Nothobranchius furzeri: one gene and its partner. The protein of the gene in region 1 purifies or fractionates together with the protein of each later gene. This does not show direct contact. Links are inferred from orthologs where the notes say so. Each region holds a gene or a part of one and is shown in the gene's direction. Other genes may lie near its edges. The genes, in order: casc3 and upf2.

Evidence for each region.
Region 2: the proteins of casc3 (region 1) and upf2 fractionate together in Homo sapiens (co-fractionation; 3 studies listed by BioGRID and IntAct). This does not show direct contact. The link is inferred for Nothobranchius furzeri from reciprocal best matches to the Homo sapiens genes CASC3 and UPF2.

Annotation. Positions count from the first base shown.
Region 1 is NC_091746.1:33,205,551-33,221,421, reverse strand, and holds the start of casc3 (protein CASC3), read left to right. Parts: upstream 1-9,140; 5' UTR 9,141-9,183; coding exon 9,184-9,366; intron 9,367-10,712; coding exon 10,713-10,737; intron 10,738-10,824; coding exon 10,825-10,880; intron 10,881-11,057; coding exon 11,058-11,267; intron 11,268-13,279; coding exon 13,280-13,428; intron 13,429-13,498; coding exon 13,499-13,672; intron 13,673-15,871. Other genes in the region: serine/threonine-protein kinase WNK4, read left to right, coding at 1-417, 5,707-5,906, 6,027-6,121, 6,635-6,637. UniProt on the Homo sapiens protein: Required for pre-mRNA splicing as component of the spliceosome. Core component of the splicing-dependent multiprotein exon junction complex (EJC) deposited at splice junctions on mRNAs.
Region 2 is NC_091741.1:38,107,171-38,122,432, forward strand, and holds the start of upf2 (regulator of nonsense transcripts 2), read left to right. Parts: upstream 1-1,360; 5' UTR 1,361-1,455; intron 1,456-3,388; 5' UTR 3,389-3,389; coding exon 3,390-3,754; intron 3,755-4,427; coding exon 4,428-5,207; intron 5,208-5,282; coding exon 5,283-5,443; intron 5,444-6,656; coding exon 6,657-6,848; intron 6,849-6,918; coding exon 6,919-7,068; intron 7,069-7,343; coding exon 7,344-7,447; intron 7,448-8,792; coding exon 8,793-8,878; intron 8,879-9,031; coding exon 9,032-9,140; intron 9,141-9,307; coding exon 9,308-9,421; intron 9,422-9,556; coding exon 9,557-9,673; intron 9,674-11,082; coding exon 11,083-11,472; intron 11,473-12,420; coding exon 12,421-12,696; intron 12,697-12,793; coding exon 12,794-12,977; intron 12,978-15,262. UniProt on the Homo sapiens protein: Involved in nonsense-mediated decay (NMD) of mRNAs containing premature stop codons by associating with the nuclear exon junction complex (EJC).

The DNA of each region.
Region 1 (15,871 bases):
GAAGAACCAAGTCTTCAGTGTTGGTCGCTTTGAAGTATCACCCTCTAAAGACATTCCCAATCAAATGAATCAGGAGCCCCACCCCTTTGACCAGGCCACACCCACCACACAATCGCCTCCTTCTTCCAGGAGAAACCAATCAATAAGCAGCACAGGAAGCAGTACAGGGGAGAGTGATTCAGACATCCACCAACCAGTTATCGTCGCACCACCTGGTAACCATGGTAACCCCTCATGTCAGGAGGAGAAGAAGATGGGAAATCACAAAATAAGTGTCAGTTTGTCGGAGGAGTCAGCCTGCACCTTTGGTCTGACTGGTGGCAGCTTCAGCCAATCACGGAGCCGCTCTCTAACCTACAGTTCTGACGAATCAGAGGAGGACGAGATGTGGGAGGAGTTACTGGAGCTTCGACAGAGGTGACTGGCTCATTAATGAGTTTATTTTTTTATCAAGTCTGTTGATGTTGTTCAATATAAGACAGAAAGAAACAAAACCCAAATCAGGAAGGGTGGAACAAAAATGACCACATCACAAAACGTTCTGTTTCACTGCAGAAAAAAATGAAACTGATGTAGTTCAGGTTATGCTTTACTATCTTGTATTACTGTCTCTGACGTCTCTGATGAGCATGCCCAGGTTCCTACACTCACCTGCCACCCAGCTTGCAAAACACCCAAGCCTCCCCTCCCAGGACTGGCTCCAGGAGGGTGCACTGTTCTTCATCTACTGAGCAAGTTCATCTGCCGTACATGGTTGTTTACAGGGTCTTTGAATTGCTCTTAATCTAACCCTTCCTTAGAGATCTCCTCACCATAAAAGACCATACCTGGGAATGATGCACAAGTCAGCATAGTCCCCAGAATAATAGGGGTACGCAAACCTATCCATAGTGATGAGTTGATGATACAGAAGAGCTATTTAGTTAGAAGGTCATCGGTATCTATTGTTGTGGGAATAGGAACTGATGGAGGGTGTTGGATGACACAAGACATTTGAAAGTCGTTAAGCTGCAGAAGAATATCTTTGAGGCTTAGCTGTCCCAATTCAGTGATTACAGGAGCAACAACTTTGGCAATGGAAGAATTTGATAAGATCATGAAGGATTTTCTATTGGACTTGAGGAAGCAGACTTGCAGCGAAATGCAGGACTTGTTCAATGCAGTTTATGGGTTGAATAATGGGAGAACTGCTGATTTGTATTGGGGATATCGTTGGGTGGTGGATCAAATACTCCTCAATCCCTTTATCATGTCCTCCCCTGAGGAGGCAGCGTCTGTAGAGTTAACACTGTCACATTGGAAGAGGCCATCAAGGTAGTCTAAAAGCTCCAGAATGGCAGAGTGCCAGGTGCCAGGGGTGGATGAGACTTGCACTAAAATACCAAAGGCTCTGGGTATTGTTTGGCTCTCATGATGGACATGCCTCTCCATGTCACTTGGAGAGCTGGAACAACACCGGTTGAGTGGCAGTCTGACAAGGTGGTCTAAATTTTCAAAAACTAGGACCAGAGAGAGTCTTTTATCTACAGGGGATCACACTTCTCAGCCACTGTTGGTAAGTGTACTCAAGGCCACGCCTGTCAATAGAGGGGGACAAACAGGTTTGTTGTCCCCGGCCCTCCCAGGAAGGGGACCAAGAGTTGGACTCTGGACCCACAGCTGGGTTTTGAATCTGCAACCTTCTTCCACTAAGGCAAGAGTGCTAGCCATGCTATTGTTTGTTTTGTTTTGTGTCACACCCTGTCCTGTCTCCCCGTTTGGTTCAGCCTGTGTCCCTGTTGATTGCTCCCACCTGCCTCTTGTTTCCCAATCACCCAAGCACCCAGCCCTCCTGTATTTAAACCCCTCCAGTTCTTTGTCTCTTGTTGCCTCATTGTTCCAGTGTCAGCGTGCTTAATAAATCTATGTTCATCATTCCTATTTGCCTGCCTGTTTGTCTCACCTGCTTTGGATCCTCACCTTGTCTCCGCTTCGTCCACCCGAACCCGTTGATGGATCCAGCTGGGAGATTCTGCCTTGGGAGTGCCTGCTCCGGTTCCTCTCGTCTGATCACTGGCCGGCCTCCCCCCCCCCCATGCTTCGCCTCGCCGAAGACGCCATCGCCGACCTTCGGCCGCGGCGTTCCTCCCTGTCCTCCCGGAACCGGAGGCTTGTTTGGACCGGGAGCTGCTGCCAGATCGCTCCAGTTTCGTGGGCAGAAGACTGGCGGTCTGTTCCCCCGGAGTTGGTCCGCGGCGTGGAGAAGAACGCCGAGCTCCACCGCAGCCCTGTGTCCCGGGGCAGAGCTGCGGACTCGCCGCTGCCCCTGCCCGATGCAGCGCCTTGGACCTGCCCCCGGCTAGGCCAACCGTCCCGTCACCGGTCCCATCGGCTGACGGAACCAGCCCAGAAGCTGACGGATCAGGCCCAGAAGCAGAGGGGACCGGCCCGGAAGCAGACGGTACCGGATCCGGTCCAAAAGTCGGCGGCCCAGAAGTCGGCGGTCCAGAAGTCGAGGGTCCAGAAGCCGACTCCCCCGGACCAGAAGCAGACGGTTCCGGTCCAGAGGCCGATGGTCCAAAAGTCGGCGGTCCAAAAGTCGACGGACCAGAAGCCGACTCCCCCGGACCAGAAGCCGACTCCCCCGGACCAGAGGCCGACTCCCCCAGGCCAGAAGCAGACACCCCCGGACCAGAAGCAGACGGTTCCGGTTCCGGTCCAGAGGCCGGCGGTCCAGAGGTCGACGGTCCAGAAATCGAAGGACCAGAAGTCGACGCCCCCCGACCAGAAGCCGACGCCCCCGGACCAGAAGCCGACGCCCCCGGACCAGAAGTAGATGGTGGTCGGCGCCTCTTCCTGTTCTGAAGTCGACGCCCCTTCCTGTTCTGAAGTCGACGCCCCTTCCAAGTCTGAAGTCGATGCTCCCTCGTGTTCTGAAGTCGACGCCCCTTCCTGTTCTGAAGTTGACGCTCCCTCGTGTTCTGAAGTCGACGCTCCCTCGTGTTCTGAAGTTGACGTGTCTGAAGTCGTCTCCTCTGAAGTTGACGTGTCCGAAGTCGTCTCCTCTGAAGTCGATGTGTCCGAAGTCGTCTCCTCTGAAGTCGACGTGTCTGAGGTCATCTCCTCTGAAGTCGACGTGTCTGAAGTCGTCTTGTCTGAAGTCGCCTCGTCTGAAGTCGTCTCTGAAGTCGTCTCGTCTGAAGTCGCCTCTGAAGTCGTCTCATCTGAAGTCGCCTCTGAAGTCGTCTCGTCTGAAGTCGCCTCTGAAGTCGTCTCGTCTGAAGTCGCCTCGTCTGAAGTCGTCTCGTCTGAAGTCGTCTCGTCTGAAGTCGCCTCTGAAGTCGTCTCGTCTGAAGTCATCTCGTCTGAAGTCGTCTCGTCTGAAGTCGCCTCGTCTGAAGTCGCCTCGTCTGAAGTTGCCTCATCTGAAGTCGTCTCGTCTGAAGTCGCCCCGTCTGAAGTCGTCTCGTCTCGTCTGAAGTCGCCTCTGAAGTCGCCTCTGAAGTCGTCTCGTCTGAAGTCATCTCGTCTGAAGTCGCCTCGTCTGAAGCCGTCTCGTCTCTTCTGAAGTCGCCTCTGAAGTCGTCTCGTCTGAAGTCGCCTCTGAAGTCGTCTCGTCTGAAGTCGTCTCGTCTGAAGTCGCCTCTGAAGTCGTCTCGTTTGAAGTCGCCTCTGAAGTCGTCTCGTCTGAAGTCTTCTCGTCTGAAGTCGCCTCGTCTGAAGCAGTCTCGTCTCTTCTGAAGTCGCCTCTGAAGTCGTCTCGTCTGAAGTCGCCTCTGAAGTCGTCTCGTCTGAAGTCGTCTCGTCTGAAGTCGCCTCTGAAGTCGTCTCGTCTGAAGTTGCCTCGCCTGAAGTTGCCTCTGAAGTCGCCTCGTCTGAAGTCACCTCTGAAGTCGCCTCGTCTGAAGTCGCCTCTGAAGTCGCCTTGTCTGAAGTCGCCTCTGAAGTCGTCTCTGAAGTCGTCTCGTCTGAAGTCGTCTCGTCTGAAGTCGTCTCGTCTGAAGTCACCTCTGAAGTCGTCTCGTCTGAAGTCGCCTTATCCACTCTAGAGGTCGACGCTCTCTCCACTCTAGAGGTCGACGCTCTTTCCACTCTAGAGGTCGACGCTCTCTCCACTCTAGAGGTCGACGCTCTCTCCACTCTAGAGGTCGACGCTCTCTCCACTCTAGAAGTTGACGCTCTCTCCACTCTAGAAGTTGACGCTCTCTCCACTCTAGAGGTCGATGCTCTCTCTGGTCCGACGTCTCCACCGTCTCCGGTTCCAATGGTGGTTCTGAAGGTCGCTCTGGTCCAGCCCGTCCAAGGGACTATGTCCCCGGCCCAGCCTGCAGAGACTATGTCCCCGGCCCAGCCTGCAGAGACTATGTCCCCGGCCCAGCCTGCAGAGACCCTCATCTGCCACAGGCGCCGGCCTCCAAGGGCCCGTCGCCTCCTCATCTGCCGCAGGCGCTGGCCTCCAAGGGCCCGTCGCCTCCTCATCTGCCGCAGGCGCCGGTCTCCAAGGGCCCGTCGCCTCCTCCTCTGTCCCAGGCGCAGGCTCCCGGACTCTGCTGGTCCCTGCCGCCTCTCCATCGGTCCCTCGGTTCCTCTGGGCCCTCCCTCCGGGTCCCCCTCCTCCCACCCTGCTCCTTGTTCCTGTGGGCGTCTGGGATCCGCCCTTTGAGGGGGGGCACTCTCACACCCTGTCCTGTCTCCCCGTTTGGTTCAGCCTGTGTCCCTGTTGATTGCTCCCACCTGCCTCTTGTTTCCCAATCACCCAAGCACCCAGCCCTCCTGTATTTAAACCCCTCCAGTTCTTTGTCTCTTGTTGCCTCATTGTTCCAGTGTCAGCGTGCTTAATAAATCTATGTTCATCATTCCTATTTGCCTGCCTGTTTGTCTCACCCGCGTTGGATCCTCACCTTGTCTCCGCTTCGTCCACCGGCGCGTATGACATTTTGTTGGTTGTTTTGATTTTCATTTTATTGGTGGTTGAGTTTCACCCTGTTGTGAATTTCGGGCTGATCATTTAGAGACCAAGTTCACTCACTTTTTCTATACTTTTGCAGTGGTCTCTAGTATAAATGAATGTCTTGTGAGACAATCTCCTTGGGAAAAAAAGCTCTCATGCTCATGTTTCGGGAAGTAGGAGTTAGTTGAAGCAGAGGGGAGCAGAAGACATCAGGACTTGGAGTATTATTATTTCCTGATATTTTGACAACTCACCTCTGATTGGCTAACTGCACTGTGACTCCACCACTTAATCTGTTCTCTTTGCAATGTTGATGTTTTATCTCAACAAATACCACAAGCCTGAAGGTGTTCTGCCATTTTGTGTAGTTGCTAATGCTAACAGTTAGCTTCTACTAGCCAAGACATGCTCTGCTCTCTCCTGAACACTAAACAAATACAGCCTTCCCCATCGCAAGACAAAATGGTGGAGTTCATGAGTGGGACGTAGATCTTTGTTGCTTTTCTAATCCGAGCGTTTCCCTGTCGATTTTCTATCGACGACTTATGCAGGAAATAGAGGCAGAAAACTATTTTCACATTTGGCCTGCATGTGAAACTCAGAGTGGCCAATAAAAATAACAAGTAAAAACGGTTTCTCAGTGAAACTGCTAAAACAAGTTTAACCAAGTCCCATTACAGTTGCCTCCTGCAGCCTTCTTGTCTGTCCAGAAAATATAAACATTTCACAGCCTTACTCTCACACAAGTATCTCTAACCAAGGCCTCTCTTAAATAGACACCTGGTGCAGGTGCAGAAGCTGCAGGTGAGTCAAAAGCGAGAAATGGAGGAGCTGTATCGGAAGAAAGGTAAAGTTCCACCCCCTGGTGTAATGTCTCCAGCGACCATATTGAACCACCGCCATCGCCGTTTGTCAAAGACTGGAAGCTACACCCCTAAAACCAGCTCGCAGATATCGGACCCATCGCGCCCTACAAGTAAGGAGATGCACTGCAGTCGGCAAACCAACATCACATAACTGTCTCATACTCACTGTGTGTGTGTGTGTGCGTGCGTGCGTGCGTGTGTGGACATGCTTGTGTTCCTGTGATTTGAAGGCATCATGAGGAAGAGTTCAGTGAGCGGCAGCAGCAGTGGATCTCAGGACAGAGTGATGAAAGCTGTGACCTTTGCCCCTGGACACAGCTGCATGGTGAGTTCATATTAAGTAAATTTCTCACTGAGATGAATAAAGTATTACTCTATTCCACAAACTGGGGCTATTCAATACCAGGCCAGTAAAGTGCCAGTATCCAGCATGTTTTAGTGGTTTCTCTGCTCCAACACACTTGATTCAGTGGTTGAATCACCTGGGCCCAGAACCGAATAGACCAGCTTTAAATTAACTGATGCTCAGCTCCATGGACCCAACTCAGTTGATACTGATCAGCTTCTTTAATTAGACTTAGTTTGAATGGGTCCATTATTAAAAAAAATATTTAACTTATTTATTTTTCATTATTCATTCTTTTATACAAATTAAATAATTTTCTTTCAATAAATAACAAAAAAATTTAAAATATATTTTTTGGTTTTTGTTTTCAATTTTTCACGATTCTTCCACTTAGACCTTGTTTTCTTTCTTTCATTTTTTTTATACTCAAGGTGTTTAGTCACGCTGCTTTTACATTCATTAACAGTTTGACCTTTGACCTCTGTGTTGCAGTGAGGTGCTAAATTTTGACCTTCTGCACATGATGCCTGAAGAAGAGTACATTTCCTGTTTGAGACTGAAATCTATTTTGATGCCTCTTCTCCCTGAGAAAAAGATCGTCTCTGATGAGCGTCAGGTGAAACACCTTGAGGAGGAAACGGTCGTAGGACTTACAGACTCTGTAACATGTGAATAAACTAATTCTTACATTCAGCATCTTGAAGAGAATTTCTCAGTAAATTTCAGAGGGATGATTTATGTTATGAATGCTGACTGAGAGATGCCACTTTAATGATGATGAACTCATAAAGTTTTACTTTTTAAACCTGTTTGATGATGAGATGTATTCATTACAAGTTTTGTCAGAACCAAACTGTTGAAGTTCTGTTTATTTATTCTGCTGGAGTCAGATAAAGCCAACCAACTGATTGGTTATTTAGCAATGTTTAATTTAGTGATGTTTGATTTCTGTTTTGAGAGATGAGAGTCTGTGCAAAACAATAAAATAAATCATGTTTAGTTTTAAAAGTCTGAATCTGAAATGAGTCAACCACAATGAGATCAATTGACGATGAAATGGGTCAAGGTCAGCTGGATTTTCTGGGGTCTGACTCTTCTTTGACCCGTGAAACATATGGTAAATGGCCTGCTCTTGCATAGCACCTATCTAAGCCAGAGGACGCCAAAGCACACGCATACACATTCACACAGATTGAGATAAATAGCCACAGCTATTCTGGGGTTCGCTGAAAGAATTGAGGTTACGACCTGATAGGTGCCTACGGTCCCTCAGACTATCCAGGAGGCAAGGTAGGTGAAGCATATTGCCCAAATGGCCTGTTTTTGTATAATGCCTCGGTTCAACAACCCTCCAAGGCGCTTCACAACATAATCAGTCATGCCCCAATTCACACACTCATTCACACACACATTTACACACACATTTACATGCTGGTGGGGATGAGCTACAATGTAGCCACAGCTGCCTTGGAGCATTATCCCTTGTACTGCTTCGTTTTCACACGGAACAAGACCTCCCACACACATGCGCGTGCACCTGGCGCGCACACACACAGTCTGATGCGCAAAATACGGAATGCAGAAAATTAGCAAGGTGACAGATTGATACAGAATGTCATGCGTAAGTGACAATGTAAGTGTCCTGTCACTGTGACCCGATTGATCATGCGCCCTGGCTACTTGTACAAGGAAGATCTCTGTTTGGCTGACTGGTTAGCACGCATGACTTTCATCCGGGAGTCTGGGGATTGAATCCTGATCGGATCATTTTTTTAATATCCGCCACAGATCTCTCTGAAGAACTCAGCATTGACGGCTTCAGCAACGCTGTGCCACTGAGTGAATTTTCTCTTGTTTTACAAAAGCACTTCCTTTCATTTCTCCACCTCACCCACAGGTACCTGAATTTCTGCTTGTGAAAGAGCGCTTCCTTGATCTGCAGTCGTGATCGAAATGCTGCAACAGCTGGCTTATGTATATGCATAAGATTCACAAGGCACTTTGCATTGACTATTTATGGCAGTAAGTGGGCGTGGTGAGGGCGGGATGTGACTAAAATGCAGCTGAGAAACATTCTCATTATTCTCCAATTTATGAAGCGGAGATTGCGTGTAGCTGTGCGTACTCCATGTTTGATAGATCATAAACCTACTTGGCGTAAGTACATTTTTTTTTTGCTGAGCTTACGGTTTTAGTAAGGATTCTACGCAACGTTTGATAAATGAGACCCCTGGCCTTTTCTTCACCCTCTCTCTGTGCATAATTAAACAGAGGAAGAGTCTGGCAGGCCAGGCCAAGGGGCTTCTACCAGAAGTGAGCAAATCCTCATTGACTCCCATGTTAAAAATGCCATTTTCACAGCAGAAAAAAAAAACATGTTTACAGCCTGGTTAAAAAAATCACTTTAGGTTTAATAGATCTAGTTTACATTCATGACAACTCTGAGGGGGTGATTTTTTGTCACTCTTCTGTTTAAAGTGTAATTTAATGCTTAAAATTCTGAATAATTAATGAGCATCAGAGCCACGTGACTTCAGAGCACATGTTAATTGACAGTTCTGCATTCCTGACATTGCATAAAAGAGCCCCTTCTAGCCTGTAGTTTTATACATATTTTTAGCATACTTACCATAAAGACGACCCCCCCCCCCCCCCCCCCCCCACACACACACACACACACACACGCCACTATTTCAGTTTTTCAACTTACTTCCGATCTTTGGACGTTCTCTAGTTGGCATCTTCTTAGAAAATGAGGGCAACAATTTGATTCCCAGCAGTTTTTTGTAGGTTACATTGTTGATTTAACGTGCAGGTGTTCCAGATTATTCATACTTTTTTGTAACGGCTAATATGTGTAAAAATTGCTTTAGTTTATTCACGTACACGTTCAAATTAAAATAGTTATTACATCGTTGTTGTACTAATCATTTCCAGAGGGCGGCAGTAGACATCAAAGAGCTGGGAGAATTTGCTCTCCAAAAGAACACCATTACCCATAATGCGTTGCTTTTTCCGTTACTAACCATTCCAGTCCTAAGATGGCGGACCGGCGGCGAAGGAGGAGGCGCGCGTCTCAGGACAGCGAGGACGACGAGTCCGGTTCTGGTTCGGACAGCGGAAGGTCGGGTTCTCCCGTGACAAAGGCTCGAGGTCGAGATCCCGAACCAGTGGAGGTGACAGAGAGCCGGACCGAGGCGAAGAGCGACGTGGAGTCCGAGTGTGTGAGTAGCTACTCAGGCTAACTCCAGCAGCTAACGTTGGTCCGTCCATCACAAAGCTTGGAATTCGGGCTAAAAGTTCTGACTTATTCCGCTTCCAGAAAAACCTTAAGGCTCTCTAGAGGTACCATTAGGTTCGACGTGACTGTGGGTGATTAACTAGTTCATCAGTAAGGAGATGGGTTTTGTCGTTCATTCGTAGTTCGATGATCTGAGACGAAAAGGTGGCAGTTGAACCACATTTACTCGGGAACAAAATGTGACATAACACCGGCTCAGTCCCAACAGTCTCTCAGAACCGTTACTGGAGAATAGAGGATGGTTACCTGAGGTCCAAGTGGATTCTTCTGCCGAACCAAGAGCTAAAAGTCACCCTGATATTCGCCTGAGTCTGCGGCTCCACGCTGGACTTCAGACCCGTGGTGGTTCCATTACATCTAAAGACCCTGTTAGTTCTGATTAATCACAGATTAGCCCCAGTTGCACTAAGGGGCGTTACGACATAGATAAAATCTCGTAATCACAAATCAGAATACTCTGATTCAGAAGATGCGCGAGGCTGGATTCCCATGACTGAGTAGCTTCACCCAGGCAGTCATTGACCCTCACCCATCAGGGGACTGAGGGCTTGACATGTCTCAAGGCCTCAGTGTCCACTACATTTTATGTCATTGGGGTACCACCCTTTAGCTACAGGCCTTACTTGTTCATCTGCATTACACTTGGTTACATTAAGATAAAATGTGTCAAATGAATTATTTAGGGGTTGATTTCTAAATAATTGTTCGTGAGGACATTATCACTTCAAAATGTATTGGGGATAAACATGTTTTGATACCCAGGTCTCAACTAAAGAAGATTTTTACCATCAAGTAAAACGTGCTAACGAGAACACTTCTCGCTCTTTGTTAAATGAACTAGTGTCCTGATTAAAAAATATTTTCCATTATTGTCATCTGTGTTTGTATTTGAGCCAACAGTAATAAGGAGCCAAAGTCTCCTACTTGTTCGTTTGGTCCATGGGTCCCTGGAACAAATAAAAAAAGAATGCAAGTGAACGGGGCTTTAAAAGCTATGTTCTAATCTGCTTTGCAGTAAGCCCTGAATAACTTGTATGTTGTACTTGGAGTTAATTAAAAATGATTTGAGTTTCTTTCAACTGTCAGGTAATTTAAGATTTATTAGCTTGTTAAAATTCATAATTAAAATGATTACAAGTCAGACATCACATATGTCACTGTAAAATTATGAGGAACCTAGCATCCCCTTCACCAGGAAAGAGTCTATCCTGACACCTAAAGGCAGCCAGATTCTTCACGTTGTCATTTTGATCCTGTTTGTCATTGCAGGAGAGTGAAGATGGAGCCGGAGAAGGTAAGAGCCTCTCCTGGTTATCCAGCTCCACGTTAGATTTGTTGTTGGTGATTCCTGATTTTATGACTCTGGCTCTGTTTTGTTCAGCTGTCCTCTCAGATTATGACAGTGCTGATCCGGAGGAAAACCGCTCCCATTCAGAGGTAAATCCAGCCTAACACAACTCCCAGTTTCCTTCCCTCAGACAAGAACTGAGTCTGTTTTTGACTGTAGGATTGAAAAGACGTTCAGATTGGTCAAAGATCTGGCACAACAACCTAAGGATGCCAATTCAAAGACCAAACTGAAGAAGAGATGTTTCTGAAAAATTCTTTTTCCAGGGGGTAGAGGAGGAAGAGGAGGGTTACAGTGAAGAGGAAGCTCCAGCAGCAACCAGTGAGCCCAAACCTTCAGTTGCTGTCGACCCAAAACCGGAGGAGGTGGAAGAGGAAGAGAAGGCTGAGGAGGAAGCAGAAGGACACAGTAAGGAGGAGCCCAAGGGGGAGGACAAGGAAAACCTCACAGGAGAGAGGCAGAGTGGTGATGGACAGGTGAGACTCAGGAAATCCAGATGGATCTGGTCAGCAGGTTCTGATGCATAAACAGCTTTTTAGCTCTTTGTTGTCTTTTTGTCCATGTTCATTTGGCTCAGCTGCTCTGTTCCAGAGCTAGTCTGAGCTTCATTTGACATAATGGGAAGTTTTAAGAGGTGGTTATCATTTGGTTAAATTCTGATAAATTTCTGCACAATAAATAAAAAAATGGACCTATGTAAATTTTGTGTAATTATACATATTTCTGATATTTGTACAGCTTTGAGCAGCTGATATTAACTCATTCGCTGCCAGCTGTTTCCTGACCGATAAAGCCCTTCCCTGCCAGCGGTTTTTTTTTTGTGTGCCATTTTTACTGTTTTTTTAAGAGTCACAGAGCATTGCGCACTAGGATGATGATACCTCTTACAGCAGGAAGAATCCGTGCGTTTCGAGCTTTATCTGTTCTTTCATAATCCGTTATTGAATTGTGATCTGCAGAAGCTTTTCTGGTTCGCGCCACACTTTTTTTATTTTTTATTTATTTATTTATTTGTTTTACAGCAGTGGCCCAAAAGGACCTCCTAACACATGGATTTTCTGCTTCCTGGTCACTTGATGTGTGCCGTATGCAGATGAAGATTGGCTTTAGAGCTGAGATGTTTGTTCTCGCGGTGTGGGGACTCGTTCCTATGCCCACACAGTAAAAAAATGCAAATGGCAGTGAATGAGTTAAACTTGGCCAATTCCATCTTTTCTCTAAAGAACTGGAATCTACAGAATTATAGATGGCCCGATACAGGAATCTGTCTGATACTGTGTCCATCTAGCAGGACTCAGAAAATCCACTTTAGACGGCATTACGCTAAGTGTTACCAGGAGACAACGGCTAACTAAAAAAATGAATACAGTCAAAGTGGTTTTATTAGTGCTCCTCCGTGAGAGCAGGGGTGGGGTGGTTGCACATGTTCCGCTGCTGTTTCTCACCAGTATCAGCTGATGGAGGGCTCTAGTTTCATTGCGCCATTCGTGTCAGTGGACACAGTCAGGGAGGGGGGTGGAGCATGATGCTTAGTCTGGCGGCCCGCCAAGCAAAGCGCTGGGGGAAACCCTGGTGTAAAATTGTACTATAACAAGCTCAGTGAAACGGCAAAGTCACAAACAGTGATCTGCGTTATAGTGAGGAACCACTGCATGTATATTCTCTCATTAGGTGTAAGTTTCTTACCGGGCTGGCTCTTCTGCTGCATCAACTCCGAAATGTTTTGGTCTCAGATGTTCATTTAGAGAAATTGTATTTCCGTGCCATGCTAGATCGTTTTTGCATATCTTGCAGGTCACCCGTCTTTTCACGGCATCTAGAGTAAAGTGTTCCCATACTTTAGATGTTTTTGTTCTGGTTTTTTCTTCACTTTTATGGTTTCTGTTTTTCTCCTGTACCGTTTCATATTCCTCAGTGTGAGCATGCGCGTCAGCCATGTGTGTGGTACGTCATGAAAATCAAGGGTGCCTATTGGCTGATGCTTCTTCTGCTGCTCCACTGTTAGATCAGTGACTCATTACTGCCACACACTGGCTGCAAATTTAACAGCTTGTCTTAAAAATAGAAGACTTACAATAAAACGTGATTATAAAACAACTAGTCGAAGACTAAATAAGTTGTCAACTTTTCCAATAATTGATTATAGATTAGTTGTTTCAGCTCCCCTATACATACATATATATATATATATATATATATAGAGAGAGAGAGAGAGAGAGAGAGAGATAGTTATACATAGATATAAATAGATATAGAGATAGAGATATAGATAGATAGGTAGATATGTGTATATATATATATATATTTTTTTTAATTCTATTGCAAGTTTATATTTGTTTTTCCAGCTGCGAACCCAGCATTGAATCTTAACAGTCATCAAAAGGTATTACATTTCACTGTCAAACCTGGAGCTATCCGTTATAAGAATGTGTGAACTTTGGTAATGTTATTTCATGTTGAAGCAGAGTTATGGTAAAAACTTTTGCAGGAGTCCACCAATGGTCCAGAGACAAAGGCTGGAGGGAAACCAGGTCAGCAGCTTGATGATGATGAAGACAGGAAGAACCCTGCCTACATCCCAAGGAAGGGACTGTTTTTTGAGCATGATGTCCGCGGCCACACTCAGGAGGAAGAGAGGTGAGCTTATCTGGTACTGGTCCTATATCGGCTCTTTGGAGACCGGGTCTAACAAAATCTCTTCTTTCAGACCCAAAGGGCGAAATAGGAAGCTGTGGAAGGACGAGGGCCGCTGGGAACACGACAAGTTCAGGGAGGAGGAGCAGGCTCCAAAGAGCCGTGAGGAACTCATTGCTATTTACGGTTATGACATCCGGAATGGTGGCGGTTCTGGAGACCGAGCGTACAGACAGCGTAGACCCAGGTGAGTGCCGCTGTGCAGGTCTAACGGAAACCTATTGTAGGTTGACTTAAACCACTTTCACATCTGTATCAGTATGGCTGTGTCAGTTCGGGCTCGTACAGGGGGCTTTTGTTCTCGTATAGTTTCCAAGGACTTCTCAGAAATGCGGAAATTCCCGGGCATGTGGGCTCCTGGGCATGTGGGCAGTGTTAAAGACGCTTAAGAAAGTCAGTGGTTGCCTCCTCAATCAGGGTGTCCGCGGGGTTTTAAAAAGTATTAAAAAGTGATAAATAAAAATAGTCAAATTTAAGGCCATTAAAAGTGTTAAATTTGGTCTCAGAGGTATTATTTTTTCCAAGTTAGGTATTATTTTTTTCAGACTATCAGATGTCGTATTCTGAACATCGACATAGAAATATATTCCGAATGAAATGTTTTGAACGATTATAAAAATAAAACAAGCTGATTATTTGCTCCTCCCACTTGAGCTGCCCTGTTACAAATGAAGCGCTCCGTTGCCAACTTAGCAACTTTGATGCTATTTCTAGCAGCTTTTCAGACCCCCTTCTTGACTTTTTAAATCTTAAAAGTACCTAGCGAACACCTCAGAAACATCTCTGGTAACCCTTAGCTACTTTCTGGATAACTGTCGTCGACATTTCCTGCTGCAGGTTAGCTAAACACTCCGCCTGCGCTCCGGACCGTTCTTCAGGACATTAGGAAAGGGAATGATGTAGTGATGTGTCGGTCGCTAAAGAAACGGCTCTCAGAGTCGGCTCCCTGTTGGAGTAACCAGAGTGAGTGACACACACTGTACCCGCAGGCTCCTGAGCAACTAAAAACAGCTAAATGTGCGCATGCGGCGTGCTAAACACACATGCAGCTTGCCCCGATTGCTGTGAGTGGGGGTGGGGGGTGCAGCTGTGGTTGGGACAATTATTACATTAACTGATGGACCTGTAAATAAATAGTTTATAAATAAGGTAGAAATAAGTTCCTCAATCCTCACGCTGATAACTAATAACTAATCTCTCTGAGGACACGGTGCTAGTGCATGCTCCTACAGCACATTGACATGGCTAAATAAATGTTATGCAACATTTTGTGAACATCAATTTATTTGCATTTATTTGTTATAAATGCCACTGTATAATTCTTGCTGTCAGTATTTGCAAGATATTGGTATTTGGGTCTGTACTGGTTAGACTTAAATGAGTTAAACCAAGGTCTACAGCCCTTGGGTTATAAACTATGAGCTATGAGTATATTGGTCTTTTTATACTGGGAATCAGGAGTTCCTTTAGTGATCATCTTGTTTCTTGTTTATTTTTGCCCTGATTGTGCCCTGAGCAGTTTTATGACTGAATAAAAAAAAAAAATCAACATAAATTGAAAAATCGTCTTAAATAATCGAGATCTCAATTTCAGTCACAATAATCGTGATTATTGTTTTTGCCATAATCGAGCAGCCCTGCTTTAGCATATCCGGTCACATAATGATGACGTCATATTCAGTGGTTCTGCATCATTTCAGGCCTCGTGGTCAACTGTCTGAACCGCTGAACAGAAGTGCCTGGCTTATTTTCTAAGTAAAATAAATATGCGCAATACGTTGTCAACATCAGTGAGTCTCTAAGTCTATTCTTTTTGTATGTTATATATGTTAAAATATGTGTAAATAGGTCGCTGATTAACACTTGCAATTTAGTGTTGTGATGGTTTTAAAAAAATTCTGAAGGTAGTAAAAAAGGTATTAAAAAGTAGTAAATTTTACTTAAGGATTGCTGTATATACCCTGTTAATAAGCTAAACAAAAGTGAACATGAGCTGTGTTGCTTGTAGCATGGTGGATTGTTGCTTCATATTTTTGAAATGGTAATTATGATGTAATATTCCATATAAGTATGAGTTATCAATCTGATTGGTCTTTGAATATTTGATTTAATATTACCTTAGGTTCTTTGGACTATTCAGGGAGCACACACTTCATGTTAATTCAGACAGTCAAGTATATAGTTTATACAAATTAATATATTATTCCACAATAATATATTTCTAAACTAATGATTATACATGACAAATTATGAATGAAAGGATGGTTGTACAAGATAACAGACAATGAACAAAATTATGGAATGTAAGCTAGATGTTTGTAGCAAAACCTTATTAAGTATCTGAGAAATAATTGTGATGTTTGGGTTGTAAAATCAGTTTGACTGT
Region 2 (15,262 bases), on another chromosome or scaffold:
TACATTGCTCTCAGCTCTGCATTACAAAGTTATTCCAGCTGGTACGATGATCATATTTCAGCAGAAAGTTCTCTGGGCTGCGTAGGAAGTGTTAACTGCAGGAGCTCTTTGCAAATATAAGGTGAGTTTATTCAACGGGCTAACTGCAGATCTGACCAGCTTCTCCCACAACATCCACAGATCTGAACAATCACTTTATTACTTTGACAAGAAAATGCTAATGTAGTGAGCTAGGCAATCTGAAAATTAGAGTAATTTTTGTTTTGTTTTCTTTTGTCATCATCAACCCTCCCTGAATTAGAAACATTTCAGCACTAAATAAAACACAACTAGACTTTATTTTTCCACTTTCCTCGTTTTTCTTGGTTTTACTTTTCCCCCTAGACATCCTGTCTTGTCTGACCTAAACATGCATCTTATCAGAAGTGCCTGGAATGAAGGGTTTACGCAGTCCACATTCAAGCTTGTTTTTGTGTCCTTTACACTGAAGTTATGTTGTATTTATTCGACGACACATCTAGCGCATTATTTATCTCCGCCTTCCCAAAGTTCAGATTTATGAAGAAAGCACCAAAACAAGTTATTTTAATAATGTTACTCAAAGCTGTTGGATGAGTTTATCTCTGCTTCATGAATGAACTGATTTCATAGTAAGAATGTTGGCTGTTGTTGGGTTGTTGTTTAAAGTCGTTTAAATTGTTTAAAGTCTGAAACATTTCATTTTCTGGATGTGTGTAGTTTCACTTATTGCTGCTGTAACAATCTGTTTTGACAAAAAAAAGTTTCTGAACTTAATTGTTAGAATTTTTCATCATTTACAACATTTCAGATGTGTTTTATATCTCTGTGAAGGACCTGAACCTTCACCTTGATCCAGCTGGCGGTCAGTCTGATGATCAGTCAGAAGGGTTTGGCAATTTTTTTTTTTTGAAAAGTGTAATGGTGGTGAATAAACGGCGTAAGTAAACCTTCAGTTTTATGTGTTGTATTTTAATTACATTTAGCAACATTTTTACACCAAGATGTTGCTGCGAATGCAGCAGCAGAATTGTGGAAGGAAAAAACAACCGATTGTGTAAAGAAACAAAATATTAAATTATGTTTGTGGATAAGATGTAAAAAATATAGAATTAATGTGGTATAAACATAAATATGTGAATGAGTGAGTTAAACGTTGCTTCCTCCCGCCAACAGCTCCGCTGTTAAATGATAAGCAGCTGCCTGGATTGCCGGTTAAATAAAATAATGGAGTGTGCTAAAATATCTCTCCTCTATTCACACACTACACTAATGCTTGTGTACAGCATTACCGGTAATTTCAACCGGCTTAAATGTTGGTTTTTGATTTTTTGTTGTATTTTCAGTAAGGCAAATCTTGGGAGACCAATCGGAAAGGGTCCTGTTTCAGTTTACAGGGAAATTGTTTACCGATGTTTGTTTTGGTGTCATTTGTAGGTAAGATTTTTCCATTCTGCCGCAAGATGATTGTAAATGTTATTTATTTTCTCTTTGTTTTATTCATTATCTTACAAATAATATCGGAACCGCTAAGTGCACGTAGTATCGGTAGCTAAACGTTTGTTAACATCGTTTTCATCAATTCATTAGCTATCGCTAATGCTAGTTCATGTTTTGTTGTTTATGTATGTGTATGGTAATTGTGAAAAATGTTAACGTTAAAGTTGGTTAAAATGCCTTTTAGTCGAAGCGCAGTTGTGAGTCACCTCGTTAACTCTTGAGAGAGTTAATATTTTTATGACAAACACGTAAAGCTAAGGACGACGCTAACCTATGGTCACGATGCGAATGGAGGAAGTTACGCTTAGACGTTTGCCATGTCCAAAAATATTAAATTATCAGTCCCCAAATCCATCAGCTGTTAGATTTTTATTTGTGCATTGCAAAAAATAAAGGTGACAGACTTTCAGTGATAGATATGTAATTTAAAAGATTTATAGATTGTGGTTTCTGTAGTTTTAGGAGCCACAAACGTCGTGAAAACTTGCTTTACTGCGTTATGAAATATTTTCTATAAACCTATGACGTAATTCAGCGGTTGCTCGTGATGCTTGTATATCTAATATGTGTATTTCTGCAACACACGAGTAACCACACAATTATCTGATACTAGGGACAAAACATGAAATGGCAGGCAACACGGGCGTTTATTAATCTAACAAATCGTTATTTTCCCAGATTAGGAGTCACTTTCTTGAGAAGTTTGGTTTCAGTGTTTCACATTTCACATAATTATTTTGCATCAAGTCTAAATTAAAGGGCAAGTCATTCCCTACCAGAGTATTAACTCCGCTCCCACATCCTGTTTGAAAAATGCTGTTGCCTAGCAGACCGAGAGGGCAGAGCCGCTAACAAACACACACACACACACACACAGGCTCACAACAACATTGTGACATCATATGGTACCAGCTAATGTTCTAAGGTACCTCTTAGCCAATAGCGATGGCAGATTTAAATTCAAATGCAGTGCAGAAATTTTACCTGACAACGGCACAACACTGACCGTTTTAGGCAGAAGATTAAAATTTGAACTAAAATGCACTAAAGTGCAAAACTATTGACTACACGTGTCTGCAGCACGATTAGTCACGCATTTATATAGTTTATCAGAAAATAAAGTTTATTTCGGGGTGACTTGCTCTTTAAACAAACAGAAACACTGAATTGTATTTTAATCTTTTTTTATATTTCAAGTGATTGAAATATTTCTGGAGTTTTTCCAAACTTTCTACACTGTTAACAAATCAGATTCAATGAAAATTAATTTTTTATAGTGCAGTGAAGACAACAGCTGATGGATCCTGTTATTGTCTGGTTTCAGAAAAGGGGCAACATTTTGGCTTTTTTTTCTCTGTTATACCAAACTTGAACTAATTGTGACACCTGTCACTTGTGTTTATTAATTTCCACTGACACTTTCTCGTTTTAGAAAGTAATCAACCATAAGAACTTGCACACAATTTGTAAAAATATGCTGCAGATGCATCCTTACATGCTACATACCCTTTTGGACCAAGAAACACTTAGCAGATAAAAGTATTGGGCTTATAAGGTTACAGGCAGGTTTTTATTTCTTTTTCCTTTTTTTTTAATAACTTTATGTTTATTTGTCTTATTTTAATGCCTTAAAATCTTGGCAGTTGCAAAAATGGGCAAAACTTATTTTAAAAACTTTTACTAATGTTTATCATCTAGGCTGCAAACATTGATTTAATATTGAACAAAGGCTCTTCTAGGAAGGTTATTTTTGTGTTTTCCTATTTTATTTAATGGAGTCAGTTACAGGACGTTAATATTTACTCACATATGTGATCAACAAAGTATTTTTAAACTACCTGAAATTACTCTTTTTCTAATTTGTCCTCAGCATGCCTGCTGAAAGCAAGCGATCAGTAAACATGGATGAGAAAGACGTCGGCTCCTTCAGCAGCACAGAAAAGGAGGACAGGGAGGCAGAGAGGAGGCCGCCGTTGGCCCGTGACAAAGTCAAAGACGAGGCTAAAGCAAGTGGTAAAAAAGACTGCAACAAGGAGGAGAAGAAAAAGCGCCTAGAGGAGGAAAAGAAGAAGAAAGAAGAAAAGGAGAAAAAGAAGAAGGAGGAGGAGAAACAGAAAGCAGAGCAGGAGCAGAAGATGAAGGAGGAGGAGGAGAAGAGGCAGCATGAGGAGCAGGAGAGAAAACTTCAAGAGGAGGAGGCTAAACGACAGCGTGAGGAGGAGGCGGCTCTCCTCAAGTAAGTGAACAACTCTGGTATGAAGCTTCATACTTTAATCGGAATCAGAAGGTTTTATTGCCATATGTGCGAGAAATTACAACATTAGCAGATTGCTGCGGTACTTGGTGTAAAAATGAAAGTTAAAAATAAGGAGTAAGCAAATATAGGAAGTAAGATTATAATCATTATGAGATGATAATATAAAGTGGTAATAATTAGATAGATGGCTACTGTGTAGGTACTAATCAGAACGGAACAGTTCAGGTAAAAACACAACACCGGGTCATGTGACTGAAACAAGCGACTGGAGTGGGCAGCCCTAGGATTGTCGTTCATGAGTCCAACTGCAGAGGGGAAGAAACTGTTCTTGTGGCGAGAGCTTCTGGTCCGAATGGATCTGAACCTCCCTCCAGATGGGCGCGAGTCCAAAAGACTGTCCAGGGTGACACGGATCAGCTGTTACTCAACCTGCACTCCTCAATGTCCTGGAGGTGTGCACTCACAGTCAGGGTCCCATTAGTCATCACACACTGGTGAAATTCATTTCACCCATGACTGATTTTCTTCTTCAGAGTCATTATGACACAAAAATAACATGCTGTTGTTGTTGTTTTTGCTTTTGTCTGTTTATAAATGATGATTTTACTCTTATTTTTACTTTCTGTCTCGCGTGTTCTCTTCATCCTCACAGAGAAAAGGACGAAGGTCATCAGCTGCACCAAGAAGCTTGGGAGCGCCATCAGTCGAGGAAGGAGCTGCGCTGTAAGAACCAGAACGCCCACGAGAGTCGGCCCGAGGAGGCCTTCTTCTGCCGGCTGGACTCCAGCCTGAAAAAGAACACGGCCTTTGTGAAGAAGCTGCGCACGCTTACCGAACAGCAGCGAGACACGCTCTCCAATGACTTTGCGTCCCTCAACCTCAGCAAGTACATCGGTGAGGCCGTCAGCTCCGTTGTGGAGGCCAAGCTGAAGATCTCTGACGTTGGCTGCGCGGTCCATCTGTGCTCCCTGTTCCACCAGCGCTACGCCGAGTTCGCTCCGTTACTGCTTCAGGCGTGGAAGAAGCATTTCGAGGCGAGGAAGGAGGACAAGGCGCCCAACGTGAGCAAACTGCGCACAGACCTGCGATTCATCGCGGAGCTCACCATCGTCGGCCTCTTCACAGACAAAGAAGGCCTGTCGCTCATTTATGAGCAACTGAAGAGCATCATTGGAACGGACCGGGAGACACACACGCACGTCTCGGTGGTGATCAGCTTCTGCAAGCACTGTGGCGACGACATTGCCGGTCTGGTCCCTAGAAAGGTGAAGCTGGCAGCTGAGAAGTTCGGCTTGACCTTCCCTCCTAGCGAAATAATCAGCGTGGAGAAGCAGCAGCCGTTCCAGAACCTCCTGAGGGAGTACTTCACGTCCCTCACCAAACATCTGAAGAAGGACCACCGAGAGCTGCAGAACATTGAGAGGCAGAACCGGTCAGATGGCTTCTGGGGTGTTGTTTTAGGTTCTTTTCTCTGAATGAACCGAAACCTTCTTTTTTGGTTTTTCAGGCGTATATTACATTCCAAAGGTGAGCTGAGTGAAGACCGACACAAACAGTACGAGGAGTTTGCCACGTCCTACCAGAAGCTGCTGGCCAACACTCAGACGCTGGCCGACCTGCTGGATGAAAACATGCCAGAGTTGCCGCAGGACAAGACGGTTCAGGAAGGTGTGTCTGAAAGAGTTCCAATGAAAATGAATTCCATATTAGGGTTGTCACGGTAACCGGTGTAGCGGTAAACCCCGGTAAAAAAGTTGACAATAATAATAACCGTCTTGTTTTTTTAAAACATATATTATCTCGGTGGATTACCGTGGCTGCGGTGTAGGCACGGTGACCCTTACCAGCCACCGTATCATCTGCTGAAGTTGCCGGCGGCACATGCGCGCTTTGTTGTTTACAACCAAAACTTTCTTGAAGCTAAAGCTGAAATAATGGCCAAAGGAGGAGACGGCAGTGCCCATGACATTTATTATCCCTCAAAGAAGACAAAGTGGGAAGTACGGGCATCTTTTGGATATCTGAAGAATGCCGAGGGACAGTTGATAGAAGACGGCTATCCTGTTTGCAGCACGTGCAGAAAAAGTGTCTGTGAAAGGCAGCAACGCTTCAAATCTCATGACACATCTGCGTGACCATCACCCACAACTCTACAGTCAACGCAAGGCAAGCTAACGTTAGCATTTTAGCTAAAATGCGTGATCCGAGGATTTGGGTTGAGGGAGAATGCAACGAGTCGCTATATAAAGCAGCCGCAGCGCCGCTACCTGCATATAAACCGTGTCGCGGACACCGCCATGTTGAAATGACGCTATGCATTACGGGGCTCCCAGGGGCAGATAAGAGTTGGTCTCTCTCCGAGAATAATTATGAATTTAACAACGATTACTGCCTGATGACATTTTCCCACATCTGCAAAGCTCACTGGAAGGACACAAACCGAGGACAATATTCTCCTGATATAGGGTTTATTACTCAAGTAAGGGTAAAAAAGTATCTGATTAGAAGGCTACTTGAGTACTGAGTATCATCTGATCTAATATATTTAAAATGATGACATCAAACAGACATAAAATAAGAAGTTATGGGTAAATATTGGTATTTTAAAGACTAAAGGGGAAATATGTAAACAAATAAACAAAATCATTACAAAATAACACATTTTAGGCTAAATTTAGACACAAACCGAGGACAATATTTTCCTGATATACAGGGTTTATTTAGTTGTGTGAAAATTTAACACGTTTAAAAAAATACCGCAATAATACCGAAAACCGTGATAATTTTGGTCACAATAACCGTGATGTTACATTTTCACACCGTGACAACCCTAGTCTCCACATAGAGCCGAACTTGTCCAACATGCTGTTTGTCCTCTCAGAGCACGGTCCTGGCATCGACATCTTCACCCCCGGTAAACCCGGAGATTACGAACTGGAAGGAGGAATCTGGGAGGACGAAGACGCTAAGAACTTTTACGAGAACCTGGTGGACCTGAAGGCTTTCATCCCTGCAATCCTCTTCAAGGACAATGAGAAGAGCAGCCAGAGCAAAGACAGAGATGACTCTAAAGGTACGTTTTATTCTTCTAAAGGTGATTAAAGAAAGGGACTTTATTCTGACTATTGAGTGGTTGTTGTCAGATGGTCAAGAGGGAAAGGAAGTGGCCAGCACCACAGAGGAACTGGAGCTGGAGTTGGAAAATCTCGACATCACAGATGAGCCTCTAGAGCTGGAAGGAGCAGAGGAGGTGGAGAATGAAGAACTGGCCAAAAAGCTGCTGGATGAACAAGGTGAGCCCCATCCCGCAGTAAAATCCTGTTAAAATCACACATTTACTCATAAATCTACTGATGTTCATCGTGATGTGTGTGATATGAGGTCTTATCTGCAGACCTGCTTTAGAACGTTGGTTCGATTTTACAAATTTAAGATTTAAGACGCCTGAGTTTTCAGATTACCACATTCCACCACCAGGAGGGAAGTAATCTGATGAAGGATTGTGAGACCTAACCTCCACTCTTGTTTTTTATCATGTTTACTTGATTCTTATTGTTTATTTGAGCAGAGCAAGAAGATGAGGAGGCGAGCACGGGGTCACACTTGAAGCTGATTGTGGATGCTTTCATCCAGCAGCTCCCCAACTGTGTCAACCGGGATCTCATAGACAAGGTGATGAAAAATAAACAAACGTTCCAGCCCTGCTTCTGTCTGATCTTGACCAGCAGGGCGTCTGTGTTTATTAAAAATGATCAGAAAACATCCAGAAACAAGCTAGAAGCAGGACGTGAACCCGTTGTTCTCCTGAACCCGACTGTTTGCTGCTCCTGAGTGTTTCTAGAGTCATCTCTAAAAGCTCCTGCAGCAGCATCCACTGCAGAACTTCTTCCAGACTTTCACAATAAGAGTCTCAAACAGATGTGTACACCTTAAAGTAAGGAGTTTTATCTGAGAACACGATTATTATGATATAATTAAACGTTTTTATAAGCGTTAGGAGTTTTGAAGCACTTGTCTGGTTGAGACTTTTATTTTGAAGGTTTAGACAGGGTATTCGGGGGTCCTTAAAAAGTCTTAAATTAGCGTTTCCAAAGGCCTTAAAAATCCTTAAAAATTACAAATAATCGTTAAATACAGTTTCCAAAGGTTTTAAATGACCAAAGACCCACTAAACAAGATTCTTTTATTTCTGTGAAATTTTAGTGAATTTCTAGTTAGTGTGGCCCAGAAAAAGGTCTTAAAAAGTCTTAAATTTGGCTCCCTTAACTCATTCGCTGCCAGCGTTTCTTGATCAGTAAAACCCGTCGCTTCCAGCGTTTCTTCCCGTTTTTACTTTTTGTTTAAGAGACGCAGAACGTTGCGCGCTAGGATGATGTCGACGCCAAAACAACCAAAACAAAGCGGAGACTCACCTCTTACATCAGGAAGAATCCACACGTTTCGAGCGTTATCCGTTCTTTCATAATCCGTTGTTGAATTGTGATCGGCAGAAGCTTTTCCGGTTCGCGCCTCACTTTTTTTACAGCAGCGGCCCAAAACGATCTCCTAACACATGGATGTTCTGCTTCCTGATCACGTGACGTGTGACGTACGCGGATGAAGATCGGCTTCAGAGCTGAGATGTTTTTTCTCACGGTGCGGGGGCTCGTCCGACGCCCACACAGTAAAAAAAATGCAAATGACGACTTTAGTCGTCATCGGCGGTGAACGAGTTAAACCTGCAGATACCCTGTTTAGAGGAAGTTCTTTGCTTCTCTGCAATCGAATGCTTAATAAGTTGTGAAGTTTAATTTATAAAATCATCTTTTGGGTACAGTAATACTAATAAATACAGCCAGGTCCTGGAAACAGGATTCAGACGTTGTTTTTGAATCTTCCTGTTGTTTTTGTTTTTTCTTCTCATTGATCCTAAAAGTCCTTCGTAAACCTCTGCTTCAGCCTGTAACGTAAACAACTTACAGAGAAGTTCACACCTGTAATTTTATCATATTTTTATTTACATTTTGGACTTTTTCAGGCTGCCATGGACTTCTGCATGAACATGAACACCAAATCTAACCGGAGGAAACTGGTCCGCGCGCTGTTCACCGTCCCCAGGCAGAGGTACCAGATGCTCTCTGAACAATGAATGAAACCAGAAAAGAAAAACGGAAGGTTTTGTGCAGACTATCAGGTGTCGTTTTGATACCTTAAGGCGCCACAAAGAGGTGCTGTCATCTGGAGTTTTGTTTTGAAGGTTGGTGACTCGTCTTGCAGGTTGGACCTCCTGCCGTTTTACTCTCGCCTGGTGGCAACGCTGCATCCCTGCATGTCGGACGTGGCCGAGGATCTGTGCTCCATGCTGAAGGGAGATTTCAGGTTCCACGTGGGTCCTTTTAGTTGTACCGTAGTTTAATAAAAGCAGTTCAGACACTAATCAGATTCACTTAAAAGGAACTTAAATGCCTCAAATAAAATATTTTGTTTGGTCGGTTCGTCATGTGGTGGTTTTCTCACGAGGGCGTCGTGAAGAAATTGAATTTGTGTTTTTAGATTCGAAAGAAGGACCAGATCAACATCGAGACGAAAAATAAAACGGTCCGATTCATCGGGGAGCTGGCCAAGTTCAAGATGTTCTCTAAGACGGACACGCTGCATTGTCTCAAGGTGGTTTTCTTCTTGATTTTGACTTATTGGTTTGTGTTAAACGTCCAGAGAAGCTGGACAAGAGCAGCTCACACCCGAGCTGTCGTGGTTCTCAACCAACAGAGATGTGAGATGAGTGTGTGTGTGTTTTTGCAGATGCTGCTGTCTGATTTCACTCATCACCACATCGAGATGGCGTGCACGCTCCTGGAGACCTGCGGCCACTTCCTGTTTAGATCACAAGACTCTCACCTGCGTACGAGCGTCCTGCTGGTCAGTACGAATCGTCCTCATCCTCTTAAGCCGGGCGGACACTGTGCGACTTTTTCACTCGCAGCGTTCAGCTTCAGCTCAAACTGTACGACTTCCTCGTAGGGCAGATCTCACGAGTCATGTGCTCACATTGTACGACCCAGTTCTCGCATGCGACCTGACTGCTCACACTGTACGTCTGGTAGCAACACGTCGGCCCTAAAATATGCTAAAAATAGCAGTTTTTACACAACACTTTTTTGTCTTGTTTTGCCTGTTGTCCTTCGGGAGTGCTGCAGGAGGACACACGGGGATTTATGGGGGTTGGATGAGGAAAACGAAATAAAGAAAGTAAATCTGTGTTTTGTGATCAGTTTAATTTAACATGAACACGACAAACACGCTTTCTTGACAATCTTTGTGAGTAAAAAAACGTGTAGAAAGTAAAATGAACAGCGTGTGTTATTAGGGAAATAGCGGGGAGCGGCGTTGATGCAGGATTGCGCATGCGCCGTGAGCGGTTCTGATACTTTTTGGGTCGCAGCTGCTCGCAGCGCCGCTTCAACAGTGCGATACCCTCACGAGGGACGAGCGAAATTTTAAACACGCCAGAAGTCCGTGCGACCTCACGACTGCTGATCGGCAGCTGGTCACGCGGTGTTAATGGCCTCTCGTAACCCCCTGTACACTACACGACCGCTCGGCGCAAAACTCGCCCCGATGTCGTGGATTCTCGCACGAGTGGAAAATCGGCTCAAAAAAGTGAAAAAGTCGCACAGTGTACGCCCGGCTTTACAGCAAACAGAAGTAAAATCTTCATTTTTGCTGGGATAGCAGCTCAGGAGGTGGAGCAGGTTGTCCAGTAATCTGAAGGTTGCAGGTTTGATCCCAGCTCTGACCAGAGAATACTGCTGTTGTGTCCTTGGGCAAGACACTTAACCCGCCTTGCCTGCTGGTGGTGGTCAGAGGGACCGGTGGCCTCGCCCCTGTTTTTGTCCCCCAGGGCAGCTGTGGCTACGTCGTAGCTCATCCTCACCAGCGTGTGAATGACCGAATGTGTCGTGAAGCGCCTTGGGGGGTTGTAGAACCCCAAGAAGGCGCTATACAAATACAGGCCATTTACCATCATTTTAGCTGATGGTGAGACCTTAGCTTCCCAAACTGGTTGGCGGAACCAAACGTCACATCAGAGAGAAGCTCCAGGAGGTTAAAAAGCAGAATTCTGATCTTCACTCGTGTGTTTTTAAAATGTGAAGAAAAGCAGCCAAAGACCTTCAAGAAGTCTGTGACGTAGTTGATTCAGAAACACTTTAAACCCTCCTGAAATCTGACAAAACGAGCATCAGGATTTTTACGCAGCGCACAGGAGACCGGTTTACCAGATGAACCTCCGTCCGTAACGCTCACATCTACTTCTTTCTGCTCTCCAGGAACAAATGATGCGTAAAAAGCAGGCGCAGCATCTGGACGCCCGCTATGTGACCATGGTGGAGAACGCCTACTACTACTGCAACCCGCCGCCAATAGAGAAGACGGTGAAGAAGAGGCGGCCGCCCTTGCAGGAGTACATCAGGAAGCTACTCTACAAGGACCTGTCCAAGGTGACCACAGAGAAGGTTCTCAGGCAGATGAGGAAGCTGCCCTGGCAGGATCCGGAGGGGAAAAGCTACCTGATCTGTTGCATGATCAACATCTGGAACGTCAAGTACAACAGCATCCACTGTGTGGCCAACCTGCTGGCTGGCCTGGTGGCCTACCAGGAGGACGTGGGCATCCACGTGGTGGACGGTGTGCTGGAGGACATCCGGCTTGGCATGGAGGTAAAAACCCAGCTGGACAAACTTCTGACCTTCACCAGACTGACTTTATTTTAAAGGTTTATGATTTTCTCCAACGGGACCTTTAAAACCCGAGCTCGAGCTGGAATGTGCTGGCAGCAGATCGGCTGATCAAACCGGTGCACACACAGTTCTGCTTTGTGCACATTTTCTAAGAACTGTGTCATCTACCTGCTTGAACCGTCCCTCCTGCGGCTCACTCCCATCGTAAACACGGAGCCTCGTCTTCTGCTGGAGGTGTGGAAGCACCTGAGATCAGAAGAGTCCGATAAAGGATTTCTAAATCGTTCGCTGTAATCTCCTAATTTTAATAATCTAGGACTATAGAACGTCCGTCGTTTAGCGGTAGTTTGTTGTTGTTTCTTGTTTTATAAACAGGAAAACAGCTTCAAACACTTTCTGATCCTTACGTTGGGTCCAGAAACCATCTGCAGAGGTGAAGTTCAGCTCCAGCATGCAGAGCGTGCAGCACGTCCTGCCCAGTGAGAGGAAAGGAAAACATACTTTGTGTGTGTGTGTGTGTGTGTGTGTGTGTGTGTGTGTGTGTGTGTGTGTGTGTGTGTGTAGCGTGTGGCGCCACTGCTGTTAGACCTGAAATCAGCGGCGTGTTGCAGGATCGTTTTCAAGCTCTACGAGTTCAAATGGAGCCGTTAATTTTTCCACAAATGCACAAAGATTCACCTGCATGCGTTAGAATCTAGTCCAGTGTTTCTGACTAGGATCTTTAATATTTAAACTCTGAAATGCGTAAAAACTAATGATGAAAATGATAAATATCTTAGTCTGATGCTGAGAAATGATGGATTTAGGTTGTTTTGATCAACTCTGGAAGATGACATCATCTCTAACATCACAGGTTCTTCGGGACATTTATTTAAAGCTTTTGTTGTTTGGTCGTTTATCTGATGACCGCCTGTCTGTCGGTTCCAGGTCAACCAGCCAAAGTTTAACCAGCGGCGCATCAGCAGCGCCAAGTTCCTGGGCGAGCTCTACAACTACCGCATGGTGGAGTCCGCGGTCATATTCCGCACCCTCTTCTCTTTCATCTACTTCGGGGTGAACCAGGACGGAAGCCCCAGCCTTCTGGATCCTCCGGAGCACCTGTTCCGGATCCGCCTGGTCTGCACCCTGCTCGATACCTGTGGCCAGTACTTTGATCGCGGCTCCAGCAAGAAGAAGCTGGACTGTTTCCTCGTCTACTTCCAGGTATGTCTGATCCATGAAGCTCGTCGTCTCTCGGCTTTACCATGAGAGTTTACAGAATCAGTGAAACGTTGTTTTGTGTGTGTGTGTGTGTGTGCAGAGGTACATCTGGTGGAAGAAGAGCCTGGATATTTGGACCAAGGACCACCCATTCCCCATTGACATCGACTATATGATCAGTGACACGCTGGAGCTCCTCAGGCCCAAGATGAGGCTCAGCTGCTCCATGGAGGAGGCCACCAAGCAGGTCACCGACCTGGAGAGGGAGGTGCTCGTCAAACTAGGTAAAGCAGGGTGTCCGCGGGGTTTTAAAAAGTATTAAAAAGTGATAAATAAAAATAGTCAAATTTAAGGCCATTAAAAGTGTTAAATTTGGTCTCAGAGGTATTATTTTTTCCAAATTAGGTATTATTTTTTTCAGACTATCAGATGTCGTATTCTGAACATCGACATAGAAATATATTCCGAATGAAATGTGTTGAACGATCATAAAAACAAAACAAGCCGATTATTTGCTCCTCCCACTTGCGCTGCCTTGAGTAGCAAATGAAGCGCTCCTCACAATGTTGCCAACTTGTCGACTTTGACGCTATTTCTAGCAGCTTCTCAGATCACCTTCTTGACTTTTTAAATCTTAAAAGTACCTAGCGAACACCTCAGAAACATCTCTGGTAACCCTTAGCTACTTTCTGGATAACTGTCGTCGACATTTCCTGCAGGTTAGCTAAACACTCCGCCTGCGCTCCGGACCGTTCTTCAGGACATTAGGAAAGGGAATGATGTAGTGATGTGTCGGTCGCTACAGAAATGGCTCTCGGAGCCGGCTCCTTGTTGGATTAACCAGAGTGAGTGACACACACACCGCACCTGCGGGCTCCTGAGCCGCTAAAAACGGCTAAATGTGCGGCGTGCTAAACACACGTGCAGCTTGCCCCAATTGCTGTGAGACCGGGTTGGGGGGTGGGGGGTGCAGCTGTGGTTGGGACAATTATTACATTAACTGATGGACTTGTAAATAAATAGTTTATAAATAAGGTAGAAATAATTTCCTCACGCTGATAAATAATAACTAACCTCTCTGAGGACACGGTGCTAGTGCACGCTCCTACAGCACCTTGACACGACTCAGTAAATGTTATGTAACATTTTGTGAACATCAATTTATTTGCATTTATTTGTTATAAATGCCACTGTATAATTCTTGCTGTCAGTATTTGCAAGATATTGGTGTTTGGGTCTGTACTGGTTAGACTTGAATGAGTTAAACCAAGGTCTACAGCCCGTGGGTCATAAACTATGAGGTATAAGTATATTGGTCTTTTTATACTGGGAATCAGGAGTTATTTTAGTGATCATATTTTTTCTTATTTATTTTTGTCCTGATTGTGCCCTGAGCAATTTTATGACTGAATCAAAATAAAAAAATAAAAATCAACATAAATTGAAAAATCGTCTTAAATAATCGAGATCTCAATTTCAGTCACAATAATCGTGATTATTGTTTTTAACATAATCGAGCAGCCCTACTTTAGCATATCCGGTCACATAATGATGACGTCATATTCAGTGGTCGTTCTGCATCATTTCAGGCCTCGTGGTCAACTGTCTGAACCGCTGAACAGAAGTGCCTGGCTTATTTTCTAAGTAAAATAAATATGTGCAATACGTTGTCAACATCAGTGAGTCTCTAAGTCTATTCTTTTTGAATGTTATATATGTTAAAATATGTGTAAATAGGTCGCTGATTAACACTTGCAATTTAGTGTTGTGATGGTTTTAAAAAAATTCTGAAGGTAGTAAAAAAAAGTATTAAAAAGTAGTAAATTTTACTTAAGGATTGCTGTATATACCCTGTAAAGATGAGTTTCAGCTGCCGGAAATCGTTCGTCTACATAGAGTGATGGGTGTTAGAGCAGCAGCCAGTTTCACGGGTTTGTTGGGTCCCGGTCGTCCCTGCAGAGCAGCATTCCTCGGAGTGTGGGAGTGCACGCCACCCACAACCCAACACACACATACACACACTCTTACCCAAAAACCCGTCAGCTCAGAGCACGTTCATTAAATTTAATGACAGCTTTTGTCTCTGACTCGAGTTTGTTTCAGGTAAATGAAACAGATCTGACTCATCAAACACGCATTTCTATTCAATTCAAGTTTATTTATAAAGCGTTAAATCAGGACCAGAGTCGTCTCAAGGACCTTCACACAGTAAACATTCCAGTACAGGTCAGGTCATTAAGCCAATCAGTAACAAGGTTCCTATATAAGGAACCCAGCAGGTCGCATCGAGTCACTGACTAGTGATCCTGGCTCAGTATAAGCATTCATCCACCACGACTCACTGGGGATGGAGAAGACAGAGCAGATGCACACGCACACACACACACACAGTAGTGTTTCTATGGTTACATTGTGATTGCTTAGTAAATATTCTATTTGGTGAGAGATAAACTTTATTGTATTTATCCTAGTGAATCTATAATTAAACGGGTAAACTAGTAGTAGCACATCCAACGTCAAGGAAAGCAAAAAGTTATTATCAGGAGAGAGAGAATGTTTTAGTGGTTAG